Linked DNA regions of Oryzias latipes. The main gene of each other region encodes a partner of the protein of the gene in region 3 in a complex. Links are inferred from orthologs where the notes say so. Each region holds a gene or a part of one and is shown on either strand. Other genes may lie near its edges. The genes, in order: fbxl5, ccnf, skp1, fbxo10 and fbxl17.

Region 1 (4,881 bases), on a different chromosome or scaffold from region 3:
GAGATACAGTCCATGAATCTGTATTAAAACATGTGGAAATGTAAAACTTACTTGTAAAACTTAAAAGCTAAGCTGAAAAGATTACTTAAGGTTTATCTTAAAAACCTCCACAGAGGATGCAGCCCTTGCATCAGTAGGCAGGCTGCTTCACTGGTGAGGCCCACAGTGCTGAAAATGTGGGCTTGCCATGGCTTTTTGTTCTGACCCTGGGGATCACCAGCAGACCTGCACCTGAGGGCTCTAGGATGGTTATAAACTAACAGTTCAAATTCTATTAGAGACCCAGCCCGATTATCCTTGGTCTATTTTGAAAGTGTTCCCGGTGGTCTTTTAACTATAGTTATGCAGGTTTTTTCTTTACAATATTGGAGCTGACCGGCTGTACAGTCGTGAGCCGGAAGCCAGCTCAGACGAGGAAAACAAAGAAGTTAAATTTTCCTTGCGCAACTTTTAGAATCATGCAAAATACCTAAAGCGTGGTAAACGTCTGCTTATGACTGTCCAAGAGCAGCTGATCTAAGATCTGGGATTTCTGTCTGTTCTGTGGTTTTAGAATGAATGTGAGCAGCTTAACTATGCTCGTCAGCTGAAGGAGAGACTTGAGGCGTTCACGCAGGACTTCCTGCCCCACATGAAGGAAGAGGAGGAGGTACAAGATAATCATGCGGGATAAGCAATAATCAAAAATGTCACCTGTTCATCCTTTTCAGCGTCAAGCTGTGTTTTAACGGAAATGTGTTGCAGGTGTTTCAGCCGATGCTCATGGAGTACTTCACCTACGAGGAGCTGAAAGACATCAAGAAAAAGGTGATAGCCCAGCACCACAGCCAACAGCACGGGGACTGTGCTGCCGGTGTGCTGAAGGGATTCCGTCTGTGGTCGCAGGCTGAGGAGCTGCAGAAAGCCTTTAAATATTCGGATCATGAGAAGACAGACTACGGTGAGTGTTTGTCCAAATGACTAAACTTGTTACAGGTTTCCAGTTAAGTGCATGACAAAGATGAGTCAAGCGTCTGTTGAAGGCCACACACTTCTTTTTTTGTCTTATCTTCAGTCATGTTTTAAAAAGGCTTTTTATGTAATCCAGCAGAGAAACAGTTTTTTTTTTAAATGAACAGCAACAGATAGATATTATGACCCGTTACCAAAATATGAGACTAGTTAAGGCTTTATTTGGGGTTAGTTGTGTTCAGCCCTCTAATGAACTGATAAACTGTCCAGAGTGGAGCCCAACCATAGCTGGACAGGCTCCAGCATCCCTGTGACCTATGACAGGATTAAGCAGACATAGAAAATGAATGAATGGATGGAGTTGTGTTCGTCTGTGATAGGAAACACAATTAGCAGGATACTTGAAGCCTTTTTTTTTTTGCTGTAAAATACCAACAATATTTGTACAGAACATGGATTATTTTGAGATAATTTTATCATTGTGGTATTTAAAACATTCACATGCTCTTCTTTTTTTCCCCCCTCCATCCTCAGACCTGGAGAAGAAGCAGAATATGTCAACCAACATCTCACACCTTCCTGCAGAAATAATGCTGAGGTTGTTCCATTATTTGGGCCCTAAGGATCTGTGTCGCTGCAGTCAGGTGTGCAGTTTGTGGTGGCAGCTGGCCAAGACCGGCTCTTTGTGGAGGCACCTTTACCCTGTTCGCTGGGCCCGAGGTAAACCTCAATTCATGGTTTTCATCTTTTCTTTTTGAACCAAGTAGTTGTTTTTCCTGGTAAAGATGATCTTGTAGATGCTTAGGCATCCTTGTTTCTAAAGTTTTTTTTAAAACACAGGCGATCATTATAATGGCCCTCCTGGGGATCTGGATCAGGAGCCAGATGAAGAGTGGGTGAGGAGTCGAGAGAATGAGGGTCGAGCTTATCAGAAGTGGGACGAGGACGCTGATATTGACGAGTCAGGTGAGGGCCAATAATCACTTCAAACATGCATGAGCTGAACGTTACCAGGGTCATGTGTGTGTGCTGTGAATAGTTTCATCATGACTATTGTTTTTTCCCCGGGTTTGAGTGGGGAAAAAAAAGTTCCAATGTTGAAGGTGGATGGACCTGCAGTGTGTGGTAGTTTATTGTGTTCATGAGGTAGTGACTAGATAGTGTTCTTCTCGTCAGATGTTTCGGGTCACACAGAGGGCTCGCTTGCTATCAATATGGTGCAGAGAGAGAAGAAGCTCCTGAATGGGATCATCCAGAACCTCCTCCCTGCTGTGGGTCCGTCAGTCAAATCCATTATTCTGGCCTACAGTTCAACAGTCTCAAGCAAAATGGTATGCGGCGCTTGTCCAGTCAGAGTTGCATTGCTGCCATGAGATTTGATGGATGTTAAGCTGAGCCTGAAAGCTTAAATGTCTTTTCCAGGTCCGTCAGATGGTCAGCCTCTGCCCCAACATCACTCATCTGGATCTGACTCAAACTGATGTGACAGACTCTGTGTTTGACAGGTACAAAATACTTCCTTTAAATTAGAATCTGGTTCTGTGGATTGAATGGCGACAGAATTGACTTCATTTGGTTGGAGCTGGAAATAAATCATTTTCTACGGATGACATCACAGTCAGTCGGACCACTTCTTCAGGGGTCATCATTACATCGATTGCGATAAAGGACATGTGGGTAGATCACGCGCCATCATAGATAAAAAAATCCCCCAAATTTAAATGTATATAATTAAATTAGCGAATCAAAATCCTCTCCAAGAAGTATATGACTTGATTGACATGCAGAAAGGCCAATAGAACACCCTCTGATACATGCATCACTCCACACGTGTGTTTAAATACACTGAGAACATTGTTTCTGCCCCACGGCGCGTCAAGTCCCCGGCAGAGGACCACTCTCGCCCACAGGAGTGTTAGTTGAGGCCCGGGTCGCCCCGCGTGCCTCTTCGATGGCGAGCGAGACCGTCTGACTAGGCTGTCCTGCCCCTGCAGCTGCTGCCGGCTCCGTGGTTCCCGTATTATTATGTATTACTACACAAATAATATTACACACAACAAAGCTATCTCTTCATGAAGATGTAGTTTTTGAATTTTCAACGATATGTACTAATAGTTCACAATACTATGTCATTAGATAGATATTAGAAATATACCGTACATGTATGTGGATCTGTGTCTGCGTGGAACTCAGAACACTGAGCTTTGTTCTCATTTTTCTCCAGCTGGTCATTCCTGGGAGCTTGTCGTTCTCTGGAGCACCTGGATTTGTCGGGATGCGAGAAGATCACCGATCTCACCCTGAAGAAGCTGTCTACCGGGTTAGGGGAACTCCCCTCCTCCTCCTCCTCCTGCTCTGACAAAACCTCACAGTTGAAAAGTTTCACCGCGCACATCGATGAGCGAAACCTGCACGCGTTGGAGCGAAAGAAGCAGGCCATCGTTTTCAAGTACGGGACTCGGCGCTGGGGGGGGCCCTGCATCCCAACGCCGGTGTGGGTTGTGGAGACCTCCGACCTGGCCGATATTGAGGACGCTGCAGCGTGGAGCCGGCGGGGCGGGATGCCCCTCCCTGAAAGCTTCGTAGAGACGCAGCTGATGGGCGGCTCTTGCTGTTGCAGGACGAGCAGAAGGCAAGGCCACCGGATGGGGTCGGACGCCTCATATTTGCATCAGCAGTACGCCATGTCGGGGGAAATATTCTGCGGTCACTCCACCTGCTGCTCAGGTGACATCGCCCTCAGGACGTTTACAGTGCGCGAAAGCGTGTCGGGCTGCGGCAGGAACGCCACTGCAGGATCTCGGACTAAATGCCCTCCACTGGGAGGACTGCAGTGTCTGCAGCCTGAAAACAGGACTGACTGCTCACCCGCTAAACGGGCGCTGAAATTTCTCAGTCTCTCTGGATGTTACCAAATCACCGACCTGGGCTTGAGGTAGTTATCCTCTATTTCTTTACACAAAGACTCACTAACACAGTAAAAAACGCTTCTATTTCAACACCTGAGGTGTTAACTAAGGTGGAGAAACCAGCATTATTATGCAAAGATTTAATCCCCAATGAGGGATCAGTTATCAGAAATCAATGGCCTCATTGACCAATGAGAGCCGTTATACTCTCCATAGCAGTTGCTATGGGAAACAGCGTCCTGATAAGGCTAAGTCTGGAGTAGCACCACTCACCTCCCCCTCCATCTGTGTTTCAGGACTTTGTCCCAGCATGGAGGGCTTCCCGTCATGGAGCATCTCAACTTGTCTGGTTGTCTCTCCATCACTGAGGTGGGGCTGCAGGAGCTGGTCTCAGCCTGCCCATCCCTCAATGATGAGCACTTCTATTACTGCGACAACATTAACGGTAACACAAGCGAAGCTGCTAGCAGCTCATCTTCACCCTGACACAAAGTCATGCTTGTTGTTGATGTTTAGTTCTTGATGAAGCTGCTTATAGATTCAGTAAAGGAAATGGGTATTTGATCCCCTAGTAACCATTAAGAGTTCTGGTTCACACAGACCAGTTAGACTATCCTGATCAACCTGTCACCTGAATTGAAGGCACCTGTTTGAAATAATCACCTGTAGAAAAGACACCTGTCCATAGAATCAGTCAGACTCCAAACTCTCCAACATGGGAAAGATTAAAGAGCTTTCAGTTGATTTTAAGCAGACCAGAATGGACTACAAAACCATTGGCATGAAGCTGGAGGTTAAGGTGACATCCGTTTGTGTAATTGTGCCAAAACACAAGAACATGACCATCAATCCACCTGTAGGTTTGAGGCTCCAGACACAGTCTCACCTGGGGGGGTTTCCACAGTTATGACAACAGTAAGGAACGGCCTAAAACAACACGGCAGGAATTAGTTGATGATCTCAAAGCAGCTGGAACCATAGTCACCATGGAAACCACATGAAACCACCATGGTTTAACATC
Region 2 (6,058 bases), on a different chromosome or scaffold from region 3:
CGACTCCTCCAGCATCGATATGGCCTCTGATCTTCTCCCATCATCCTAAAAAAAAGAAGATGAAAATCCCTCAAACGTTATGAAAATCGCCTAAAACATTGTGCTTAAAAATTGATTGGGAAAAACATGCTCGTAAACACAGACAAACAGTGATTCTGTGAATAAGAATCAGTTACATAGAACAGACAAAAACAATGATTTTATCTGTGTGGGCTCCTAACAACTAACCCAACACAGTCCCCCATGACAAACAGCACACATATTCATGACATGCAGACAGAAACTGAACCAACAACGCCCTAAACAACCAGATTTAACCCAGCTTTTTTACTCACCTCAAACAGCAGCAGAACTCTGGCCAAACAGTGCAACAAGGGACCCTTCTTCTCCTGCAGAGGAAGCACAAGAATCAATAATGGAACACATGGAAAGAATGAAAAATCTCCACCAAAAATAGATCGATAAAAGTACTTTGGTGTGTGTAAACGCATTAAAATCGATATGCTAGTAATAGTTTCAGCAGGAACTAGTGTCAGTGTTTTCCAGGAGCAGAAAATAGACCATCAAGGCCATCATTTTTCTGCTAAAATGTAATCTGCTGATAATAAGCACCTAAAACCCAGATTCTACCCTCCACTGACCTTAGACTGATTTTTTCTAAGCATATTGTTGTCTGTCAAATATAGAAGACAAAGCTAAAGATTAAAGAAACACAGATACAGGGCTCCTCAGGATGGACTCGATGGAGCCACAGCAGCAGCAACAACAGCAGCAGCAGCACCTACCATGTTAGTATCGCACTCGGCCTTGAGGTGATCGAACACCACGGCCTTGCAGCAGCTGCCGGTGGGTGACCACGGCGGACGGATGAAAACCCAAGTGAATGGGTCGGCTTTGGGGGAGCGCACGCTTTCCGCCAGGCTAAAGAAGTGGGAGGCCTTTTGACCGCAGACGTCCGCTCGCCCTTCATCACTCAGCAACGCTGAAGAACAAAAGGGAAGACAGTAGAAAAGGTTCATATCAAGACAAACTCATAAGTGTCTTAAGCTATAAAAAAAAAATTTCTGACTTTTTTTAACCATGTGTTTTTGAAATATTCCTGTTAGACGCCAGTCGAGCATCTTAAATATACCGTTCTGAGGTAGATAGTGCTGGAAGACGCACACAAAGGCAAGTTTTATATTTTTTTCTCCTAATGCATACTTCATATACTGCCCACTTGTGGGTAATTAAAAGTTGTTGAGGATGCAGAGGCTGCAAGCAATGTATAATGATGCCTTGAGGATGCGATTGAAGACCCCTTGATAGTGTAAAGCTGTCTTTAGGTGTTTTTGATGTTATGTTGTGTTATTGCTCTTGAGAACGAGAGCATTTTGTCTTTGATTAAAATACATACTGCTCAGGAAATGTAGCCTTTAGTGCACTTACGCCCTTCATTGTATAAATAAGCAATCCCAAGTTTCACAGCAGCCTCGAAATTCCCTTTTTCTGCAGCTCTAGATTGAGAAAAAAAAAATTGCAGTTAAAAACTCGATAAATGACAAGCAGTCAGAACAGTGAATTTCTTTCTTTTTTTGTAAGAGGGAACCATACTTTTCAAATAGCCATAAGGTGTTGGGGGATGGCCATCGGTCTCTGAAACTGACCCTGGCCCACACACTGGAGTGGTTGTCTACAATATCCCGCAGCTGGGAATGAACCTACAACCAAAACAAAATAAGATTAACAAAAGCAGGAACAAAAAGAAACTTTATAGTTTTTAGTCACAAGATGCGCAAAGAACAGTCACTTGAGATTTGACAAAATGCAGCACATATGTTAAAGAACAAACTGCACAATTCAAATGCATACATCATTACTTACTGCTCTAACAGAGAGGAGGTCTTCTGCAGACAGACACTGAAGCACACAGAGAAGAATCTCCTCAGGCAGAGACAGCAGCGTTAGGGACGACGAGCGTTTACGAACCCGCTTCCGCACTGGAACCGAGTAACATTTTGAACAACGGCAGTGGACAACTGTAGACAGAGGAAGGGAGGAAAAAGTCATCAATACATGGATTTGTGGATGCATCTCTAGAGCAGCATCTTTAATGCACGCAGAAATGTACAGAATTTCATTCAAGTGTACAAAAGCACTTCACAGGGTAATGCGAAAAACTCATTCTCACATCTGTGCGAAAATCAATATTTGCACATCATTATAAAGGCATTTTAGAGGCAGTTGCCTCCTCTTGTGTTATTTGGTCAAGATGGTCATAAATAAAATAAAAAAATAATCAAGAATAATCAAATCCTATTTTAAAAAAAAATGTAAAAAAGAAAGAAATAAGATTCTACAGCAAGCCTCGTCTCTACAGCAATAACTTTTTCACTTAGCATAAAGTTTCATAAAATACAGTTAAACACTATTTTGGTCATATTTTTGTAAATAGATGAAAATTAAGGATAAAAAGTTGAAAATATGAAGACCCTTCAAGATAAATGACAGTAAATTCTCAACTCCCTCCATCATGAAGATGACAAACGTTTGACACCCTCGTGTGGCCTTCTCTGCATATTTGAATAAATATGATAAAGATTTAAACAAACACCAACCATTTTATAAGGATTCATTTAAAAAAATGTTGTGTTAAATATACATTGCACCTGAATAATCGCAGAAAAATAGTTTGAAGTAAGTTTCTGAGTTGAAGAAATCGAATCAGATGAGCGCCCAAATTTCCCTCCCGTATTCCGATTGAAGCTTGAGTTCTTTATTTTTAAATCTAGTTTATAGTTATATATATTTAAATACTACTACAACAAACAAGCTAGATTAATTTAAAGGTTATGGACTTTATTTTTGATTTTAGGTTTGTATTAACTTAAATAGAACAAGTTTTGTTAGTACATCGCTTACTTAGTTGCTAAATTTCACTGCACTCTCTGAATACTTACAAATAAAGACAGACTATATATTTACATTCATAAAAGGCAAAATATTTAACTATTGTTTCACGGAAGATATAAATATTAGTAGGAAGAAAGTTTTTAAAATCTACTTACCGCCCGCTTTCATTGCAAGTGGCTCAAGACCGATGTATGGAGATACAACACGGAACAAGTGCGTATAATGAGTGACGACACCACCTAAAACAAGCAAAATTATTTGCTGCTTTTGTCAGAAAACTAAATTAAGAATGATACGATATCTGCTGTCTTTCTATCACCAGCTAACATCCTATAAATTGTTAGCTCCTGCCTGAATTCAAATCCAAGCGTGTCCACATTTGGCCCCGCCCCGAAAGCGGTCTAGGACCGCCCGCGCCCATGGTTTAAACTCATTGTTTAATCTGATTGGTGAAAAGTGGTGACGCCCATCCGTTGCATCAAGACTTTCCGATTGGTCATCCCGCAGAGCGAAGGCTGTGGTTGGCCATACGGTATAAACTGGAAAAGTAGAGAATTCTATTGGATAACGTAATGCCTTTTCGAAGTACGCGCTCGCCCAAAAGCACAAATAATTGGATGACCTGAATATGAAGCTGTCCACAGAGCGACCATTTTGAAGTGAACCATGGGATATGTAGTCACATAAAATAGACAATTTAAAGGTACCGCTTTTAAAGGGACAGCTACAAATTAACCCTCCCCACAGTGGTATAATAGAAGAACTTAAAAAAAAAAAAAACAGCTCCAACTACGTTATTGGTACTCAAACTGTGGAGAATAAGTTTGAACCAAAAGCTCACTGTTAAGTAAATAAGATAAAAAACAACAAATGTACATTTTTCTTTGTTAGTTTTATTTATTTATTTTTATGTTTTGGTATTGTGCAAACCTTTAACTTCTTAACTTTTGATTTAAATTTACAAGCGTTGTTGTTTTCTCTTTACTCTAAATGCAAATTTAAATTTCCTGATATAATTAGCAGTTCTTGAAAAAAATGTAAGGATATATTATTTTTCTGCAGTTTTGAGAGCAAAACATGGATTTACACAAATCTTTATATAATATCCTGGCTTTATTGGATTTTGCCCCTCCTCCCCTAAGGTTCTAGTTTACCATAGTTTAACCTCCATGTACACCTTTGCCCCCATACCCAGGAATCCAGCAATTACATCCTGCCTCATTTGGACCAATCTTTCATACCCAAAAGGGTTTCTAACCCTGACAAGGTTTCTGTTTATACCAGCAAAAGTCCTAACGAGATAACAAAAACGAGTCCCCCCCCTCCAACCCACACAAAAACACATCACTTCACATCTCAGTAACCATGTGACCGACAACACAAATGAATGAATGAAAGCAACAGATTGGTTTGGCCTCTATTGCAGCTGCCTCGGAGAAAACTACATGATTAAGACCTTTTTGTTGCGTCTCTATTGACGATAAATAAACTTCTCTGTTAGCTGAATAGTGTCCTCTTGATTGCTAGTTTTTGGAAGGAGGTTATAAAGGACCAGAGTGCACAGTCAGTCCTTTGTTGCTTTCAAGCCTTCTATTGATCGGTTCATCACCTGTTCACCTAATCTCATCGCTACAAACAAAGCTACTACTCAGTAATTACATTTAAGAGGGCAAAGGCTTTTGGAAGTGTCAAAAAAGGTTCCACGGCAATATTATTTATTTCCCATTTTTATCTTGACTTGCACAATAAAGAAAGTGTATTTCCTCTTAACTCACTATGGGAAATATTCTTTGCTCTATTTAACACTGGAGATGCAGCAAAATCAAATTATCTTGAGTGACCTCAGTCAGGGCAAGGGCTGTGACATCTTCAACTGGATGCACTGTTTCCATAGAAACTCCAACCCATCGCAGCCACTTTCAGGTAAAAAAAACCCCACAAAGTAAATGATAACAAATAGGCAGCATAATGGGGTCTTAAAAATGACATTTTGATTTTCTCCATCAAAAGCATCCAGTTGTAAAATTGTTCCAAAAAAACATGTCGTAGCACATCTGGAAATTAGACTTTTTATTTCTTTATGGTTTTGTTCTCCTAAAACGAATAGACTAAGGACAAAATAAACAGCATATTGGAAATTGAAATGACTGATGCATAATTTGAAGTTGTGTTTTTTCATGTTCAGATACCATTCCATTCACTTGCTTTTCCCCACATTTGTTTGCATTACTATAACTACAGAAAGACTCATTTTAATAAAATTTAACATCTAATTGCATTTGAATGTCTGGTCAGCCTTGTGCAGTTTCAGTCTATACCTGTCTCCAAAAGCAGCTATCCCAAAAACAATCCCCTATCTCATCACCAAGGTAGCATTAGACAGCTGCTGGAGGCAGTGACTAATCAAAAACAGACACATTCATCTTTTACACAGATGCTGTTGATTTGAATCGATGGTTAATAAAACCATCAGGCCACCAGTGGCTCATGGCCAGATTTGATCAAGTCATGTTGCGGCGTATGCTGCATGTTTCTGAACCTTTGTCAGCTTTGTAAAATTCAGCTGCATGTGGGCCAAAATTGTGCTGAATGCTTGGGTCTGAAGCCAAACCCTGGAGATAAAGAGGCGGATGAGTTGCTCCCATCTGGTTTCCTGTGATCTGTGCTGACCCTTGCAATCCAAATGACCACTTCCACCCATCTGCACTTTGTCCCTGTTAGCCCCCTCCACCCTGTAGCAAGATCTAAACATGGTTCCCTCCACACCCACCTTGGTTCCTCAGCTGCCGTCAGCATATAACAAAAAGTTATTTTTTCATACTAAAAATGTGAAAGAAACTTCCACTGACATAAGCAGATTTACCTCCGTTTGCAGCCTGTAAAACAGTATTGGATGCCAGTGTCTCTGTGAAGGTTCTTTACCAGTAGGGGGTGTCATTTATTCTAGGTAACAGGGGCCCATTTGTTTTCTTAACGACAAGATGTCATGTGCGTATCACAGCAAGTCATTCCATCTTGGAAGAGACCATATGACAATGTGTCTATATTCAGCTGCAAAGGGAAGCTTCAGGTGATTCAACCAGCTACAGATGTGCCTTGTGTTTCGGGGAAACGTGAAGGGGCAATTGTAATCAATCTGTTCCACAGTCTAAACAATGCATTGTCT
Region 3 (5,448 bases):
CAGATTCTATTTGATTCTATTACAGTTTACATACTGTAAAATGTGGTAGGTAAATAATAAACCAATGAGGCCGTTAAAACCACACAGTGTTCCATGGTTTCTCAAATGGAGAAGCTCCAACAAAAATGTGCAGATCATTATTTTCTGCCTCTCCTGCATGGTGTTTCTGTTTGTCCACTAGGTGGAGCTCACGCTAGAGCCTTACACCATATTCCAGAAGATTGAGCAAAGAGTTACTTTGAAAAAAATGTTTCCTTAGAAGACTTTGGACATTTCCTTCCTTCCTGTGAGTGTATAAAGCTGTTCATTTAGGCAGTAATGCAAGTTTCAGTCGAACAAGCGTTAGCATAAGTGGTCCTACGGGAAATTCTGTTAGATGTTAGCATCAAACTAGCAGACTTTGGGTTTACTGCTGTTATGGGTTAGGTCACCGGTAAAGGAAAGGCATGAAAGATTGATCTCTAATTTAATGGATCGATTATTGATCCATTAGGCTTGGATCAACGAATCGATATAATCAACCCAGCCATAGTTTATTAATTTAAAAACACGCCTAGTTAAAATGATAAATTCTGTTTGGTCTAATCGTTAAACAAAAAGTACCACTAAAATGCCCTGTTAGCACTTGTTGACTGCTGCACTTGCTGGATGAAAGAGTTCTGGGACTTACATGATTAAAGGAGAAAAGTGTTTTCCTTCCATGTGTGACAAAAGTGTCAGAATAACAGAATGGAAAAATACTTCTGTTTTTTGGTAATACATTTAAATACACCTGGGTACCAAACCTTAGTGTTTTAAATAAGACTACTACTAGTGATGGCAGACACCAGGGATCATTATGTCTAAGACCAAAGTCTAGCTATACCTTCCAGCACTGTTAAGCAGCAAGGATGGTTTTGTTTTTGCTGTCTTCTTGGTCTTCTCAGTAAATTGTGAGGCTGCATCACTGAAATGGTTAACATTAAAAATAGTAAATCAAACCAAAAGTGAAGTATTTTATCAACACAGCCACTTATATTTATAGAAGTTTTCTCAGTTTTGCAGTTGACTTTCTTTTTTGTTAGATTTATTTTTTAAGGTTATTTGTAATAGTTTTTTTATAACTGACTCTTTTGTTTGGGTAACAAATGATTTAAACATTTGTTGCCAGGCAACAGCTGGAAGATGTTTTTTTAATGCCGTTGGGTCGTCAGCGGTCAGAGAGCCGGTAGTGGTTCTCACAAACCAGCCATGTGACGTGATGTGAGAGGTAACCCGAGCAGAACCCAGGAGAGATTGGGAAACGGTTACTGGAAGATCCAGTCATTCCAGGAAGTGAGACACGAGTGACTCCAGAAACCCCCCCCCCCCCACACACACACACACACGCTTATTTTGTTTACAAGCAGAAATGGTTGCTACATTTAACTCAAATGTTGGATTGAAGTTGAAAGAACCATCTGAGTTTTGGGTTTTGAGGTGAGCACTGCTCAGGACAGAGAGCAACTCTTGGGGCAGATGGGGCTGTTTAAATCAGCCCCATGGTATTGATTAAAAACAAAGTCTTCTGTTTTACAAAAGGGGGAAAGAAAATCTTCTTCTTTTTTGGAGTGTAATTTCTAAAAGATTTAGTAAAAGTATTTTTCTTAACTTGAGAGTAACGCTTTACTGACAACTGTCCTTATGGGTGGGTTTAGGCTGTCTGTGGGCAAAATAATAGGGAGGTGGCCCGCAAGAAATTTTAAGGTCTTAGACCACTGGGTGAAAATGTTCATGCCCATTTTTTTTTCTTTTTTAGTAGACATCCTGCGGGTGAAAAATTGTAGCGAAGGCTTAAAAATGCATATGGATGAAGTGGGGTGCAGGCGTGTCATACAGATTTTTCCAGCCCCTCCTAACCCTGATCTCTGCGCAAGATGTCAGTAATGTTCAAGTGATAAATGCTCACTCCTTACAGTGCAGCCTGACTGTGAGAATGTAGGAAATTAGACGACCACTGCATAGTTTGTGTGTACACCTGAACACATGCGGCTTCAGCCTGAGGTTGCTAACGGGTCAGTACTTGCGCCTTACTAACGACTAGACTGTGGTGTAAGGGCACTGTGTTACTGCTTCACCCACTTGAAGTGTGGGCATTTTACACTATCCTTACAAAAACCTCCTGATACATGACAGTGGTACATTCCATTCATGACATCCCATAAGGCAGGGGTCGGGAACCTTTTTGGCCGAGAGAGCCATGAACGCCACATATTTTTAAATGTCATTTTGTGAGAGCCATTCAATATGTTTAAAACTAAACTACAATTAGTCTGTGGATTCTTTTCAATAACATTGTAATTGTAGAGGACTGAGTTAGACTGGGTGGCTGTTGGGTTGCGTTCTAAGTTCCAGAGTTCATTGAACGCATCAAGCAGAGATGCTGGTTGGCCCTCAGTTCTGTCGCTCAGCCTGTCGTTGGGGAGTTCTGACCAATGGGGTTCAGCTGTGGGCCCAATAATGGAAATGGGAGGGCTGGTGAGGGAGGAGGGAATAAAAAGTTGGAGTTCTGTCGGTGGGAGAGATTCAGGAGTTGCTGGATAAGTTGTACGCCATTGGTTACGGCCTACAGTAACCAGAATAAAGAACCTTAAAAGAGATTAAGTCTCTGTGCCTCAGTGTGGGAAAGGGACGCTACATTATGCTGTTGCTAATAAATGATGATTTCATAGCATTAATGTGACTTCTGGTGCTGCATGGTGGTTTTGCTGATGGTCTTGTCTGGTTGATGCGTGGTGAGTTTAAGGCAGTGCATAGGTTTCAGGCTGGTACCAACTCTGTGATATAACAGATAATAGGAAACTGATAGTGGAGCAGATTTTTTTTTCTTCGAGCACCAATACTACTGCCCCCCACCCCCCACCCCGACGTGGCTCGTGAGCCATGGGTTCCCGACCCCAGCCAGGCTAAAGGGAACTACAAGACACACCTGTGTTCCCTTCAGGGTGCGGCCACTCCTCTCTAGGACCCTCCACGGCCCGGACAACCCGATACCCTCCAACCCCCGTACAGGTCAACCCCGTACGAGAGCGTGCAACAAAGTTCTAAAGAAAAATCCTCCATCTTGGTTCTCATGCCAAATGTCCCCATGAAGCATAAAGTCAAAGTTGTTTGTTTGTGTCTGTGGTCTAGTTTTCATCCTAAACTTTTTTCCTGCTTTAGGTCAAGTCAGTCTGCCAGTTCCTGCCGACTGTGCCCTTTTCATCTCTTAAAGGTTTCATTTGGTTTATTTACTTTCTGTTTAGGCTGCCAACTATTTGGACATCAAAGGTCTGTTAGATGTCACCTGCAAGACGGTGGCCAACATGATTAAAGGCAAAACCCCAGAGGAGATCAGGAAGACTTTCAACATCAAAAATGATTTCACAGAGGAGGAGGAAGCCCAGGTACTGATTCCATCTTTTTTTTCTCTTCTTGTTGGACTGAAAAAAAAAGTATTGCACGAAATATTTGATGTGAATGTGTTGCACGGGAGTGTAGCTCAGGGCTGAACAAAGCGTTGAAAGCTCACCGTTCCCCTCTGTCCACAGGTACGCAAAGAGAACCAGTGGTGTGAAGAGAAGTAACAGGGTTTTCCTCAACACTACCACATCCAAAAGGATTGTCCCTGCTAACTGGTTGCACTGGCCATGTTCATATTTGTTAATATTTAGTATATTTAGAGCCACACCCCCCTCCCTACACCTTAAACCCCGCTTCCTTTTATTTCTATTCTCCTATTACTGCATGACCATTTTAATTTGCCTGTGTGGTGTTGGTAAATTAAAGTTAAAAGGCTCTTTTGCATTTTCACAAACTCACATTGAGCACTGACAGAAAACAGTCAGCAATTTGTACTCCTATTAAAAATTACTTTTTTTTTTTTTTTTACTGGACATGCTAGTTGTATTTTAGGTTAGCTGAAAGAAATAAAACAACTTTTTTTGAAAATGAGAAGTCATGGGTGAATGTTGGTTTCTTTGCTCTGTAAATGTACCGTTTTGTGAAGCCTCATTAAAGGAAGCTGTGTGAAGTGGAGACGGCTTTACAGCGTCCGGCGACTCCTTCCTGAGTCATGTGTGGAATTGGAAACCTTCTGAGATGAGCTGATGCTGGTTTAATAAACCAAACCTATCCACCAAATGTGTGTTTTGTGTCTTGATGCTGCCAAACAAACGATCTCTGACGGGATTTAGGGTTTCAGTCAAAAGAGATATTTATATTTTATTACATCCAACAAAAAAATACTAGCAATACAACAGGGTTAAAAAAAAAACATTAAAAAACTCAAACATGGTTTTCTCAAATGTCCTGAAATGAAGCAGTTTTAGCACAAGAGCGCCATCTGCTGGCGGAAGAATCCAAAATCATTCTCTTAAAGCCTTTGAAGGTTCAAACATGCAGATTAAACACAATACATAGTTTGACTGCTGCTGTAACATCTGACCCCAAAACAGTTCTTCACTATTTGACAAAAAACACTGCTTTAAAATAAAAAGGTTTTAAACTGAGCTCATTTTTTTTTTGGTCATTTCCTTTTTTTTCTTAAAAACATACAAAAAGTGTAATTACAATGTAAGACTTTACAACAGAATGCAATACAATATCACCCATTTGGTCTCAGATTTGTTTTTGGAGCTGTTGATTAGTCAATGGGAAATTTAATTTTAAAAAATAACATTAAAATTATACACACAAAAATAAAAGGGAATTTAAGAAAGATGGAAGTAAAAGTTACAGTTGAACCTGAAGCTTGAGAGCCTGAAGTGCCTTGAAAAAAGTTACTTGGAATTGTCTTATTAACTGCATTAAATGCTTGAATGACAAATACAGTTAGTCGCACAGCTGGTTACAACAAAATCCAGAAAAGAAGGGTCTCCGTAAAAAGGCAAACAGAAGAACCAATCCTTCCCTTTTGTAATCTGAGGTTGTAATGGTCAGTGCTCCGCTCTCATGATGTAATGGTTTGCTCTGAGCAGATAATGGAAATACTTCCGGGGGGGGGGGGGAGCCAGTTTTTATAATTGGAAGTAAACTTTAGTTTGCTTTCAATAGAAACAAATCTTTTCTGTCTTTTTGTTGATAAAAACTTAAATTTGTGTGGGTTGATCTGACTCTAAAAAATGGACTTTAGAGGCTAGAGTGGTGCAGTTCTACTTTAGCTTCAGTGGAAGCAGGACCTGAAGGTTTAAACTCCATGCAGATGTGGAGAAGCTGGTTCAAGCGTGTCTCTCTCTACCAACGCCCCCACTTTACCAAAATACACCCAAAGATGGGACTTCTGTTCAAAGAATTACTGTTTTGTCACAAGTGCATCTAGTGATGAAGATGAGGAGGAGAGTTAAGGATGGAGCAGCTAACGAGGAAGTCCTCTGGATCCAGCAGAGATGATGATGATGACGATGATGTAATACTGACAAATGTGAGGAGCAGGTGAGGAGGCGAGCGATC
Region 4 (6,059 bases), on a different chromosome or scaffold from region 3:
ACGGTTCCTTTTTTTAGAAACACACATGCGGAAGCTTTGGCTTCCAAGAAAACAGTATGGGTGAAGAGAAGTGACATAAAGTCATAATTGTTTTTTCACAAGAAGATACCAGATAAAGTTAGCAGGAATAGGCTGATGCTTTTGTTTTGATCACAAAGAAGGACATAAATATCTAAATGACTTAAAAATGTTTTGTTTATAAATTTTTTGTCTTTAATTCACCCTGACTTGAGAGCAGCTGAAAAAAATTCCAATGTACCTGTTTTACATGTACAAATGGTAATAAATCTCTTATCCTTATCCTCCTCTCACTTTTTTCTCCCTTCCAAAACAAGTTTTATTTAGTCATGGTTATATCTTTGCATCTGTTTAGGTTATTTCTTCATATAATCTAAGTATGAGCTTTTTAATTTTTATTTTCACTTCATACAATAAAACTACAAAACATTTTTTTCTTCAAACAGCATATTGTTCTGCAAAGTGATCTGTCAACCCTTTTATTAACTGCTAACTTTTGCATGTGAACCATTTGAGTCCTCATTCATTGCTCTTTCACTCGGGTCCTTTTGCGGGTCTGAACCTGCAGGGATATGAAATTGAAAGGTGGTTTTACTTTTAAGAAGCTTAGCATGTCCAACAGAATCCTTCACTTTCCCACTTTTGCATGACGAGTTTTGCAGAAGTGGGAATGTTTAGTGTGTTATTTCCCCTTTTTATAAAGACAGATGAATTAACTGAAAAGCACAAAATGCAATTTTGAAAACTAACGTTTTACTTCAGATTTTGCACTATGTTTCATAAAAGCAGTTTAGTCGAACTGGCTGCAGAGGGACATCGCCATCTGTTGGTCAAAGTATAAATAAGTGTAATGTAAATGTAAATCATCAGAGTTATCCACCTATGTGGCTCCACCGGAGCATTTAAAAATGACACTGTGTAATTTCCTTCAAACTACACAGATATTAAGCTAATTTTCTTTGCATCACTGAAGTGAAATGCTTCCCGCCTCACAGCACAGTCAAGTTAGATATATGTTGAAAGCCAAAAACATTTTAAGTATTAACGTTCTTGTGGATAAAGCTCATTGGCCATTTCTGCCATTTTCAGAAGGACATTTATAAAATTCCACCAGTACATAAGTATTTTTTATAAATGCCTCTGGAAAAATATTCACTTTGTTAATTATGTCTTGTAGTTTTCTTGAAGGCTTTGCCATGCGCCAAAGCCTTCTTTGTATTCCATTACATTTTTTTAATGTTTTCCATATTAGTTTAGTTTAGTTTAGTTTTCCACAATGTGTCACAAACAACAAAATCACCTCACATATTGGAATGGCCAGATCAGTCTTTTCTGATCCTTAACAATATATCCATAAGTATAAACATCTGTCTGTCTGACAGGGAAATCTAGTTTATCTATGTTTTTTATTATTATCATTAAATTTTGAGATACTCAACTAAAGTTGGAAAGATAAAACTTTTAAAAAGTACATTTATGAAATAGTTATTCTCTTTACTATATGTCTCACTAATCTAATCCATATTTGTTTTAAAGCAATTTAACACTATAAGGAATGCTGTGCAGATAAACAAAAATAAAAAAGAGCACATAAACATTAAAAAAAATGTAAAAGTAAATATTAATTAAAATGGGGCTCTAGAAGGCAACGCATAACTAAAACAATTAAAAGAAATAAATAAAATAAATTATAATTTACCATAAATAAATAAAACTTTAATAATTACCACTTATTGCTAAAGGGTCAAGAAAAACAGATTTATTCTAGCTCTTGCTTTAAGTCAGACTCAGATCATCTTTTAGTCTATTGTAAAAGCATTCCAGGGGCTCTTTAATTATGATTATGCGTTTTTTAGTCAAAATCTAAAAAAAACTAAACTGTGTCATTTTGTAGGACAGTTCCTTCAGAGCTGCAGCGGTTCATTTGTAATTTACCTCTGATTTGGAGTAGAGTAAGCCTGCCCTCACTTTCTGTCATCCATCTGTTTACATGCTCTCCCGCTAGCTTATAGCCTCTCACAACCCCGACCTTGCAATGAAATGGCGAACAGTATTGGACCTATCCAGCCGTACAGTTCTCAGCCAGATTCCATCTTAGACGTGGGCAATAAAGACATAAATTGATAAACTTCACAATGGAGCTTGCGGCTTGCCGCAGTAGGTGCTACGTTACATCTATTAGCTATTTCCAACTTCATTTTTTTTTGTCAGCTGCTGATTCACAACAATTTGAGTGAAGTACTAAGAAATGCAGTTTCAATCTAATTTTTTTTTTACATATCTCATTCATGAGAAAATGCAACAAGAACATGTTTAAAACACCAACAAACATGATTTTTATTGGAGTGGGTCTTTATGCTATATGATTGTAGCTGTTCAGAAATCAATAAAGTTCGTTTTTGTAATCTGAACCCTGAAAACTTGTGGTAACAAGGATCGAAATTAATTTTAAAAATAAAAAAACTGATGCTTAAAGGGCAAAACAAGCATCTTCTTACAGTGAGTCATGATGAGCTGACTGGTGTTCATCCAAGAAAACCAGTGGGAGGATTTTGTACACGCCCACTTTTTGGGGAAGCGGAAGATGGGCATCTCTGTTTGCCGTAAACTGGTTCGCTTGGACGGTCGCAGCTCCGCCGCAGACATGTAACGCTGAGAGAAACCGCTATAAACATCGAGCCGACATGCATTAATGTGTCGGAGTAGCGACTGAAAGGTAGTGTTTCCATATTTCATGATGCTTAAGATTCGAAATAATTAGTCCTCTCCTGCTAGCAAACAGGTGGTGACCGCTGCAAAGTTCACGTGAAACGCGAAATCGCTAAATAATAATATGGAACCCGTTATTATTTCTACAGTAAACGCAATGAATTATAGTTGTGACGAAGTGTTGTTGCTGCTTGTTTCCATCCAGGTGCCGTCACGGTGCTTCCCCAGCCGGCGGCTCTGCTGCCATGGAGGTGGGGAGCCTCCCCATGGAGTTGTGGCGGGTTATCTTGGCCTATCTCCCCCTCCCTGACCTGGGCCGCTGCTGCCAGGTGTGCAGGGCTTGGCGGGAGCTCATCCTCTCCCTGGACAGCACCCGCTGGAGACAACTCTGCCTCGGCTGCTCCGAGTGTCGGCATCCCAACTGGCCCAGCCAGCCTCACCTGGAGCCCGCCTCGTGGAGAGAAGCCCTGAAGCAGCACGCCCTGGCCAGCCGAACCTGGACTCGAAATGTGCCAGAGCTCCAGTCCTCTGCCTGTCTTCACTTTTTCCGGCGACGCAAAGACCGTAAGGTCTGGCACGTCGGACCCGGTTGTGAATTTGAGAGCCTGCGTGGGGCTCTTGGGGTGACGGGACCCTATGACCGGGTTGTTCTTCATCCAGGGGTCTACGAGGAGCAGGCTGAGGTGGCGCTGAAGGTGCCCGTGGAGCTGGTTGGCCTGGGGCGGCTAGGTGAGGTGGCCCTCCTGGTGTGCATTGAGCAGCAGTGCCCCACTGCCAGACTGTGCAACCTGGTGTTTATGCCACCATGGTTCTCCACTGTTGTCTACAGGGTGAGGGACCAGCTTGTTTTTGCATTGTTTTTATGCAGTACATGCAAATGTATCACCAGAAGAAAAAAAAGAAAAAAAACAGGTCTTACTTTGCTAGAAAGAAAGAAAAATCCAGCACTAATAAACCAGAGGTTTGCAACCATCAACACTTAAAGAGCCACTCAGATCGATGTCTTACAGACCCCAAAGTCTTATTTAACCTTCTAGAAAAAACAATTTGTATTCATTTTAGTGTTACTATTATGATAACTGATAATAAACTGTTGTTTTTTTTTTTTGGCATAAATAAAACCCACACATAAAGACAAATACAATTTTCAAAGCATTGAACAGTTTATAACTTTTGACAGAGATTTACGTGACTTCCTTTCAAAAAAAGACACCCTGTGTCACATAAGTTTATTTCACTGCAGTAGTAGTACTGTAGTGAAATGTCAGCAGTGATTAAAAAAACAAAAAAAGATTTTTATTTTACTCTTTGTATTGCATCTCAGCTAGAAGTAGGTAAATCTAACAAAATAAAATTGAATCAGAGCTAGTTACTGTTTTTTTAACCATAAGACACACTTAAGATCCTTGAATTTGTTCAAAGATAAAACATATTTTTCGTGATCTGATGCGGCTTACTTGAGGTTGTGCTCACTAACCTTCAATTGATATTCTGTGGCACATGACAAAAATCAGTCAAAATGTTTTAGTTCAACTTGTGATACGTACTTCCCTTCAATTTTTTAAAATCTGTTAAATAAAGTTTGAGTTAATTTACTTTTGCAGTTACTTTGTTAAATTAAAAACGTTTTTTTCTTTAACTGTAGAGCCACAACGGAGGGATTAAAGAGCCTCATGTGGCTGTGGAGTTTCAGGTTGCAGACTCCTGACCTATTCTCTTTTCTTTTCTCCCTCAGACATCATGGGGTCATGTCCAGATGGATAATTGCAACTTTGAGGGTGCTCAGTTGCAAATTCGTGGCCCTGGAACCTGCCAGGCGCGTTTCTGCTCCTTCTCTCAAGGCAGCTCTCTCCACTTATTCAGTGTCTCTCTCAGTTTATTAGACAGCTGTGACTTCTCAGGAAGTGACACGGCTTCAGTGACCGTGGAAGGTCCCCCAGTGTCTGAGAGGAATTGGGCTTGTAAACACTTGGCTGCCCTGGCCAGGACGTTCCCATCTGGGTTTATTAGCTCTCCTAAAGCCCCTCGGGCCAGCTCCACTGGCGGTAACCCTGCAGGAGGCAATGCAAAGAAGGAGCCCGTGAGCACAGAGGAATGGAAAACAAGGATGGGTGGAGATGCGGGGTGTCATGGAACTGTTATCGAAGACGGCTGGAGTGATGGCGATTGCAGCGAAGGAGATGATGAGAAAAAAGATGGCAGGGGAGCCAACACTGCCAAAAAAATGTTTACACTGGATTACAAAATCCCATATGACCATCACGGTCTTGCTCACTTGTTAAAGCCTCTGGAAGATGGCACTCTGCCAGCCGCCTCGTCTCCTTCACCTCCACCTGTTACCCCAGAACCCCTCACCCTTCAAGAAGAGTTAGAGAGGGATCAAGAGGCGCAGATAATGGCTGCATCAATCCTTGGCTGCATTGTCAGACGCTGCCTCTTCAGGGACGGAAAGGGCGGTGTGCATTTGTCGAATTATGGACAAGGTCGACTGGAAGAAAATGTCTTTCGGGGGCTGAATTATGCTGTCCGCTGCATCCAGAACGCCACGGTAATTGTAGTCGATGCTGTTAACACATGTCAAGGAAGTGTTTCACTTCATGATTAATTCAGCAGCTTTTTTGTTACCTGAGCTGTTTTTCTTCCCTCCTTCAGATCGTAATGCTGAGAAATGAGGTGTGCGAGTGCTGTGCGTCAGGAGTGTTTCTCCGCTTGTCTGCTCAGGGCCTGATTGCAGAAAATAACATCCACTCCAACGGGGAGGCAGGGTTGGATATTCGAAAAGGAGCCAACCCAATCATTCTGGTAAATTTACAGGCATTTACAATTGCAGCTGGATTTATATTTGAATTGTGTTTAAACCAGTTTTGGGATTTGAATTTGGATGAGAGGGTTATCAAAGTCCTTTTCTTAAAGACCAACTCCGATGAAAATAATGTTTTTGGTGTTTTTAACATGTTCTTGTGGCATTTTTCTGATGATGGAGGACATATAATAGGAAAATTCAGCTCAAAATTACATTTCTGAGTTTGTATTTATTCAAATCCTTGTGAATCAGGAGCAGATGAAAAAAATGCCGTTTGAAAAACTGTATTTGTGGAGTAGAAATTACGCTGGGCCAGCAACAACCTCCCTGCTCTGCTCTACAGTATTCTGATGCATCGACTTGTAAACCTCTAGATCAGGGTTCACCAACCCTGTTGCGGTAGCGCACGAGGAACAGGGTTGGTGACCCCTGATCTAGATCCATGTACGTCTTCCCTTTCCTCGTCTGAGCTGGCATCTGGCTCAAAACTGTTCAGCTGGATAGCTCCAATTTTCCTCGCCTTTTCTGT
Region 5 (6,179 bases), on a different chromosome or scaffold from region 3:
GGATAAGAAGTTCTGAGCATCGTTAGGTTTTCTAATCTAATTCATGTCCAGCCTGCCTGAAAGAGTTTTTCACAAAATAAGAAAGAACAGCAACAGTTTTTTCCTACCCGAACAAAAACGATGATAACTTTCCTGTCTTGATATAAGGACTTGAACGGAATGGAGACTCCGTGTCGGTCGTAGATCAAGCAGTCTTGCGCCTCTTGCAGATCTACAGGCGGGTTTTCAGTTTTTTTCCTGTGGCTGTCTTTGGTTATTTGTCGGGTTACTGGTGGAACAGTTGCAGCCATTTTTTTCCTTCTTGCTTCCCGACACTGCGTGTTATTCTGTGAGTTGCCGTTCAGGCTGGAAAAGCTGCAGCCAGACTGCACGTTTCCGCCCATAACTCTGCGTGCACGCGCACACAGACGCACTGAAAAATATGCGCTTTTAGTGCACAGAAGCGATTGATTATCATTCTGTTAACACTGTTTAAAATCTCCTTTGTGTTGTAAACCTTTTAAATAAAATGATCTTATCTCTTGTTCAACTTGTTAACAGAAATTTATTTTTGTTCACCAATATTAAAATGCATATGGTAACTGTTTATCATTTATTTATTTTATTTGTTTTTGCTTTTTTACATTAGTTTAGTTGGCATACATTTAACCAAATGTAACAAAGAAAGGTTTTCTCAGACTGTATGATGAACTATAAATATTCATTATTATTAGGTTAAAAGAAGTCTACAGTAAAGCTATTATTTAATTAAACTAAGATTCAAAATAGATACCCAAATGATTGATTTTTTTTCATTTTCCTACATACAATTATACAAGCTTTGTATTTTTGTTTTAAATTGCAGAAATGTGTTTGAAAATATGTGTTGTTTAGTTTCTCTGAACACACAAATCCTGGGGAAACTGGGGTACAAATGATGTCTTGCAGGACTTTAACAGAATGCTTTCACAGTATAACACTTGTAAAGTAATACATCATAAAAAAACGTGTTTTTTACAAGTAGAGCAAAAAGTGTATGACACACAAAATACAACAATTTCATTTTAGAAAAACAACAGAGATCAGGAAATCAACAGATGTTATTCGTTTCTGGCCACTTTTGGGCAAAGGCAGGGGACATCCTGGACAGGTTGGCAGTCTGTCGCAGGGTCACAGATCACACACCCATACACACAAACAATGACACCTATGGACAATTTAGAGTAACCAGTTAACCTATGAAGCACAGAAAGGTCCCCATTGGTGTTGTGTTTCAGGTCCCACAGCCAGGACTAAAACTGGGGGCCTTCTTGCTGTGAGGCAAGAGCGCTAACCACTGCACCACCGTGCAGCCCTGTAATGCCTTCATTAAACCACATTTCTATTCCTGTTCTTATTTAAGCTATTTAATGTTTCACAATGGGAGTTGGTGGGGGGTTGAGGGCAATGCGTGTTTTATGTATACTTTAGTTATAGATTTTTGCATGAAGGTTTTGTTTCTATTTTTAAATATGAAATGTTTTTTTTCCCACTTGTTATAGTTTGTTGAGTTTGAAGAAGGTGTTTTTATGTTTCTCTTTCTGTATCACCATTTTGTTTGTCTTTTTTCTTCATATTTTTTTGTGTAAAAATGCTTTTTTCATCTGGCACAATTTAGAGTGGATATGTATGTTGTGTGTGGATAACAAAAGCACAATTTTGTATAACTGACATTTGTTAATCCTTGCTCATCTTTGGTTGTGTGTCATTTTTCTATTTACTTCTCTCATTTCTTTCTCCAGGTAAATGTTTTTCTGTTCTTTTATTTCTCCAACGATTTCTCTCTATACATATTCTTCACCATCGTTTAGCATCAAATTCTTTTTCTTAAGGTCTAGAGCCTAAAACAAAAGACATTTCTTCGAATATAAAAGAGGTTTATATTGACGTGCACCTTCCATGTAAACAACATGCATGAACCAGATTGTTAACTGTCCAACACAGAAGCAGCTGGACAGGAGTAATACAACAAAAATACATCTTTATTTGGTTGGTTCCTTTTTGGTATCTTCAGGATGATTTTTTGCATCCTATGAAATTTTTATTGTATCCGATTAAATCCCGGTCTCTCACATTTTATATTTACTTTGTGTATTCAAAGTCCAATTTGCATACTCTCTGCGTGATATTTTTCTTGAAACAATAAAATTACTCCCAGGATTAAACGAGTAATAAATACAAATCTACAGGTGATGGAAAAATGTCACCCTCTTAATCATCTGATCATCAGTCGTCTGGGATTCTTCTACCTGTTATTAAGCAAGTTTGCTGTCGAAATTGTCCTCGCCGGCTTCTGTAGCTCTGCCCCCCTTCGCTGCGGAAGTGTTGTGCTCAAGTGCAGCAGAGCCAAGCTGCTGGAGTCTGAACAGACGCTTCGGCGGTTGTGTGTTTGCGGCCGCCTTTCTCCGTGTCAGCGCTCACCGCTACCGTCAACCCGCGCAGTATTATGTGAAGAGCGTCCGGACGGAGGGAGCAGCGTGTCAAGTGGTGAGAGCTGCTCCATGTTGGAGGAGAACAGCTAGCTTAGCATCTGTCTGATGATGGAGGAGCAGGTTAGCCTCTCAGAGGGCTCCTAGCTGTTGTCTCCAAAGGAGTTTGAAACTGTGAGCGGATATTTATCATTTTGCAAAGTGTGGGATAAGCGTTTGGCTGCTTTGTTTGTGTGTGGTAAAACCCGACCACCTGTTCAGTGTCTACATCTTTGTGTTTGCAGCAGTCGAGAGCAGCAGATGCATGGATGGAGCTCTCGTTGTTTACAGATTCGACAAGGAGGACGAGCAGTTTAGGCATTAAAACCGATGGCCAATTTCTATCACATTAACTTTGACTCACAAAAGTTGCAGTCAATGTCAAAAGTTGAGAAAAACCTGATTGATAAGTCAATTAAGGATTTCCCTTTTCATTTTTGTTCATTGGAAGAACTTAGCAGTTTACAGGAAAAAAGCCGTTTATTTATGGAAACCTTAATCTTGTGTGTAATCAAACATTGTATGCAATATTTAGCTTTAATACACAGTAATAATAATAATAATAATAATAATAATAATAATAATAATAATAATAATAAATTGTCTTTCTTGAAACTCAAGGTCGCTTTAAATAAAATAGTGACATAGTTGAAAACAAACATCAAAGCAGCAATAAAATATACTCTTATAAAATTGGCCAAAGCAGTCATGTTATTATGGGCTGTGGTGAATAGATGGAGAGAAGCAATGTTTCAGAGGTAAGGGAGTGCTGTTTGTTTCACAGCCTTTTTAATTGGTGTTCTTCAGGCTTTGTACAACCACAGTCCAATTTTTAAAAACTGATTAAAAAAAACATTCATTTTATGTTAAAATAAAAAAAATTGTTTATAAAAGGAATTTCATTTGGAAAAGATCTTATTTCCAGAGTTTCTTTTATTTGATGTTTTCCACATTCATTCGTGGAAGATTCCCAGTAAAACCAAACTTTCTACGTGGCCTCTAATAAGCTCTAAAAAGTTGTATAATGTTTAATTCCATTTTTCTGTGATAGTTATACACAACCTGTAATTGTGAATGGAATGATTTACTACTCAGTTCTGTCACATGACTGGACCAATTAACCAAGCCTATATTTTAGCCTGAATGCAGAGTTCTTCTGGGTCAATCAGTTGGCTTGTCATTTATTTCCAGGTTACTGTCAACCTCTTTCTCAAGTTAAACATGAAATCCTCTGCTGACATAAATGTTAACTTAACTTTGCTTTTTTTATTGCCAATGTCAATATTTTTGAAGTAACCCTGAAAAGTTTTTGTCTAAAGATTCAAGAGGAATGATTAAACACTTTTAGTACTTAATTAACTCTTTTTTTTTTCTCTCATAAATGTTATTCAAATGTAAGATTCCCTTCTGTTTCTTTTTCTTTCTCCAAGAGTTACCTTGAATCTTCTATATGGGCCATCTTTTCTCGAAAAATGGTTTACGCCTGAAGAAGAGGACCCGCAAGTTGCAGCACAAGAAGAAGAAGAAGAGGAACTGTTTCCTGCAGGGCCCGTGCATGCTCTGTTTCCTCGTCCACAGCAATAGCAGTGGTCTGGACGACGACGGTGACCATCTGGAGGCCGGCGTGAACGGGTGTTGCCACAACACAATCACCGGAATCAGTGTCGCGCACATTGGGGGCGTCGGCCTCGGACCAGCAGCTGCCTCAAAACTCGCCGAGCGATACGCAACAATCGCCTCACCTGAGGAGTGCTCCAAGTACCTGTTGTCCCCAAGGGAGCTGGGGATCTGGGAGGGCCAGGGGAGGGGCATTTTATCCGCCGTTCCTGCCAAACTGATTCCAGCGCCGGCTCTTTTCCGAACGGCTGGTGTGTCTGTGACTGTGCCCGTTCCTGTGCCTATACCCAACTGCACCGTCGACTACACTGAGATGGTAGGCACTAACCTCACATTGAAAAGGTGCAGCAGGAATCTGTGGTGATGGGTCAAATTGTTTTGCTTCATGGTGCCTTCAGCTGGTTACTCTTGGAGGAGTAAATATTCATATTTTGATCATTTATTTAAAAGAGAGGTTTGTGTTTGGGCTTGAAAGAAGGCTGGTTAGATATAACTTTAGATGGTCAGAAGTGGAAGACATTTTCATCAGTGAATAAATAAGATAATCAGCTGAATGTGAGCCTGGTGTGTTTTGGTTGAAAAGCACACCTTTACATGATTGTGTGTTTCTGCCTGCAGGTGTGTAAGAGGAAGTGCTCCGAGGTGCACAGGTGCACCCCTTGCAAGCAGCCGCGCTGTGCCTTTGCCGCTCCTGACGGAGGGCTGGAGCACGACGGAACGGGAGGAGAAGAGGCTGGCTCCAACTCTGAAACTGGCCACTGCCACCTTCCACTATGCCCAGTTCCCTCCTCGTCCTCCTCTTCCTCTGCATCCGCCTCCTTGCCTGCTGATGGCTGCTGCGGGCTGGGCCTTCAAATGGACTCGCCCCACAGCTCAGACTCCTCCCCCTGCTGCCTGAATCACTATGACGACTCTCAGGCGAGAAGTTCTGATGCTGTTGATCACTTAAGTATCAACCACCTGCCTTCCTCCATCCTTCTCAAGGTCAGAAGGGCTTTAGTTCATCATTTTTTGTTCCCATTTACTTAAAGACCCAGTCCGATTAAAACGTGTTTTTTTTAGCATGTTCTTGTGGCCTTTATCTGATAATGGAAGGCATATGTAAAGAAAATGTAGCTCAAATTGCATTGTTGAGTATTTCTTTACTCAAATAGTTGTGAATCAGGAGAAGACGAAAAAATGCAGTTTGAAAGAGAACTTCTTTGTGACATCAAATACAACTGGCGGTCCACAAGCTCCCTCCTCCGCTCCATTCTGATGCATCCACTTGCAGACAAATAGATCCATATCTGTCATTGTTTTCCTAATCTGGCTCTAAACTCTACGGCTGGATAGCGTCAATAAAGTGGGAATACTTTAAAAATAGATCAAAAGATGATCAGAGTGGGACTTCAACTATGTCAACTAACTATGTCAATACAATGATATTTTTTGTGTTTTATGATAAATGCGCAATGAAATTAACAAGGATTTTCCCTGTTATAAACTGTTTTGTCAAACGAGCATTAGTTGTTAATCAGAAATGCCTCCTCCTCTTCCTCCCACCACAGGTGTTGTCCCACCTGACAGTGAAGGAACGCTGTCTTTGTGCCTCTCTGGTTTGCAAATACTGGAGGGACCTCTGCTTGGACTTTCAGTTCTGGAAGCAAATCGACCTCAGTGGCCTACAACAAGTAAGAGATGTCACGCTCTGAAGCTGGTCTTTGAATTTTGTAAAAATATTACTTCCTGCTGTTGTTTTTTTAGTTTCTGTGTATTTAAAAAAATTCAGTAATTCCATATGATATGAGTATGCCTGTAAAAACTATGCAAGATCTGATTTTTATGTCATTTGTTTCAGGTTAACGACGATCTCCTTGTGAAAATTGCTTCTCGAAGGCAGAATGTGACGGAGATCAACATCTCGGATTGCAGGGGGGTGCACGATCATGGTGTGTCCTCCTTGGCCTCACGCTGTCCAGGCCTGCAAAAGTACACAGCCTACAGGTGCAAGCAGCTGGGAGACATCTCCCTGTCCGCTTTGGCCTCACACTGCCCTCTCTTGGTCAAGGTGCATGTTGGAAACCAGGATAAACT

Evidence for each region.
Region 1: the proteins of skp1 (region 3) and fbxl5 are in contact, whole or in part, in a cryo-EM structure (PDB 6VCD), measured with the Homo sapiens proteins. The link is inferred for Oryzias latipes from reciprocal best matches to the Homo sapiens genes SKP1 and FBXL5. Residues at the interface, in NP_733779.1 of Homo sapiens: Phe101, Ile104, Leu105, Asn108, Leu116, Asp117, Cys120, Lys121, Val123, Ala124, Ile127, Lys128, Gly129, Lys130, Pro132, Ile135, Arg136, Phe139, Ile141, Asp144, Phe145, Glu149, Val153, Arg154, Glu156, Asn157, Gln158, Trp159, Cys160; in NP_036293.1 of Homo sapiens: Ile205, His207, Leu208, Pro209, Val212, Ser215, Ile216, Tyr219, Leu220, Gln223, Glu224, Cys226, Arg227, Cys228, Ser229, Gln230, Val231, Ser232, Met233, Trp235, Ser236, Lys240, Trp245, Arg315, Leu316, Gly319, Leu320, Asn323, Val324, Tyr327.
Region 2: the proteins of skp1 (region 3) and ccnf are in contact, whole or in part, in a cryo-EM structure (PDB 9CB3), measured with the Homo sapiens proteins. The link is inferred for Oryzias latipes from reciprocal best matches to the Homo sapiens genes SKP1 and CCNF. Residues at the interface, in NP_733779.1 of Homo sapiens: Arg81, Asp83, Gly98, Phe101, Ile104, Leu105, Asn108, Leu116, Asp117, Cys120, Lys121, Val123, Ala124, Ile127, Lys128, Pro132, Arg136, Phe139, Ile141, Asp144, Phe145, Val153, Asn157, Trp159, Cys160; in NP_001752.2 of Homo sapiens: Leu30, Thr31, Ile32, Leu35, Val39, His42, Ile43, Trp46, Leu47, Glu50, Asp51, Leu53, Ala54, Val55, Ala57, Val58, His59, Ser60, Gly86, Asn87, Ser300, Val301.
Region 4: skp1 (region 3) and fbxo10 share a complex: the UniProt entries of both Homo sapiens proteins name them as parts of the SCF(FBXO10) complex. The link is inferred for Oryzias latipes from reciprocal best matches to the Homo sapiens genes SKP1 and FBXO10.
Region 5: the proteins of skp1 (region 3) and fbxl17 are in contact, whole or in part, in a crystal structure (PDB 6W66), measured with the Homo sapiens proteins. The link is inferred for Oryzias latipes from reciprocal best matches to the Homo sapiens genes SKP1 and FBXL17. Residues at the interface, in NP_733779.1 of Homo sapiens: Lys78, Glu79, Lys80, Arg81, Gln97, Gly98, Phe101, Ile104, Leu105, Asn108, Leu116, Asp117, Cys120, Lys121, Val123, Ala124, Ile127, Lys128, Gly129, Lys130, Thr131, Pro132, Ile135, Arg136, Phe139, Asn140, Ile141, Lys142, Asn143, Asp144; in NP_001156787.2 of Homo sapiens: Pro319, Asp320, Ile321, Asn322, Leu324, Pro325, Ile328, Lys331, Ile332, Phe333, Ser334, Asn335, Leu336, Leu338, Asp339, Glu340, Cys342, Leu343, Ser344, Ser346, Leu347, Val348, Cys349, Lys350, Trp352, Arg353, Gln364, Arg370, Gln371, Val373.

Annotation. Positions count from the first base shown.
Region 1 is NC_019862.2:28,342,712-28,347,592, forward strand, and holds part of fbxl5 (F-box/LRR-repeat protein 5), read left to right. Parts: intron 1-553; coding exon 554-649; intron 650-744; coding exon 745-940; intron 941-1,485; coding exon 1,486-1,671; intron 1,672-1,791; coding exon 1,792-1,917; intron 1,918-2,127; coding exon 2,128-2,282; intron 2,283-2,373; coding exon 2,374-2,456; intron 2,457-3,175; coding exon 3,176-3,886; intron 3,887-4,156; coding exon 4,157-4,305; intron 4,306-4,881.
Region 2 is NC_019866.2:11,076,965-11,083,022, forward strand, and holds the start of ccnf (cyclin-F), read right to left. Parts: upstream 3,453-6,058; 5' UTR 3,061-3,452; coding exon 3,048-3,060; intron 2,019-3,047; coding exon 1,864-2,018; intron 1,701-1,863; coding exon 1,594-1,700; intron 1,497-1,593; coding exon 1,429-1,496; intron 983-1,428; coding exon 786-982; intron 390-785; coding exon 336-389; intron 46-335; coding exon 1-45. UniProt on the Homo sapiens protein: Substrate recognition component of a SCF (SKP1-CUL1-F-box protein) E3 ubiquitin-protein ligase complex which mediates the ubiquitination and subsequent proteasomal degradation of target proteins.
Region 3 is NC_019872.2:4,053,614-4,059,061, forward strand, and holds the end of skp1 (S-phase kinase-associated protein 1), read left to right. Parts: intron 1-3,263; coding exon 3,264-3,404; intron 3,405-3,548; coding exon 3,549-3,584; 3' UTR 3,585-4,136; downstream 4,137-5,448. UniProt on the Homo sapiens protein: Essential component of the SCF (SKP1-CUL1-F-box protein) ubiquitin ligase complex, which mediates the ubiquitination of proteins involved in cell cycle progression, signal transduction and transcription.
Region 4 is NC_019859.2:12,620,987-12,627,045, forward strand, and holds the start of fbxo10 (F-box only protein 10), read left to right. Parts: upstream 1-2,601; 5' UTR 2,602-2,734; intron 2,735-2,932; 5' UTR 2,933-2,972; coding exon 2,973-3,557; intron 3,558-4,462; coding exon 4,463-5,275; intron 5,276-5,379; coding exon 5,380-5,529; intron 5,530-6,059. UniProt on the Homo sapiens protein: Substrate-recognition component of the SCF (SKP1-CUL1-F-box protein)-type E3 ubiquitin ligase complex. Mediates the ubiquitination and degradation of BCL2, an antiapoptotic protein, thereby playing a role in apoptosis by controlling the stability of BCL2.
Region 5 is NC_019867.2:7,788,776-7,794,954, forward strand, and holds the start of fbxl17 (F-box/LRR-repeat protein 17), read left to right. Parts: upstream 1-2,308; 5' UTR 2,309-2,505; intron 2,506-2,512; exon of another isoform or gene 2,513-2,621; intron 2,622-3,916; 5' UTR 3,917-3,936; coding exon 3,937-4,419; intron 4,420-4,721; coding exon 4,722-5,087; intron 5,088-5,653; coding exon 5,654-5,776; intron 5,777-5,943; coding exon 5,944-6,179. Other genes in the region: thioredoxin-like protein AAED1, read right to left, coding at 108-290. UniProt on the Homo sapiens protein: Substrate-recognition component of the SCF(FBXL17) E3 ubiquitin ligase complex, a key component of a quality control pathway required to ensure functional dimerization of BTB domain-containing proteins (dimerization quality control, DQC).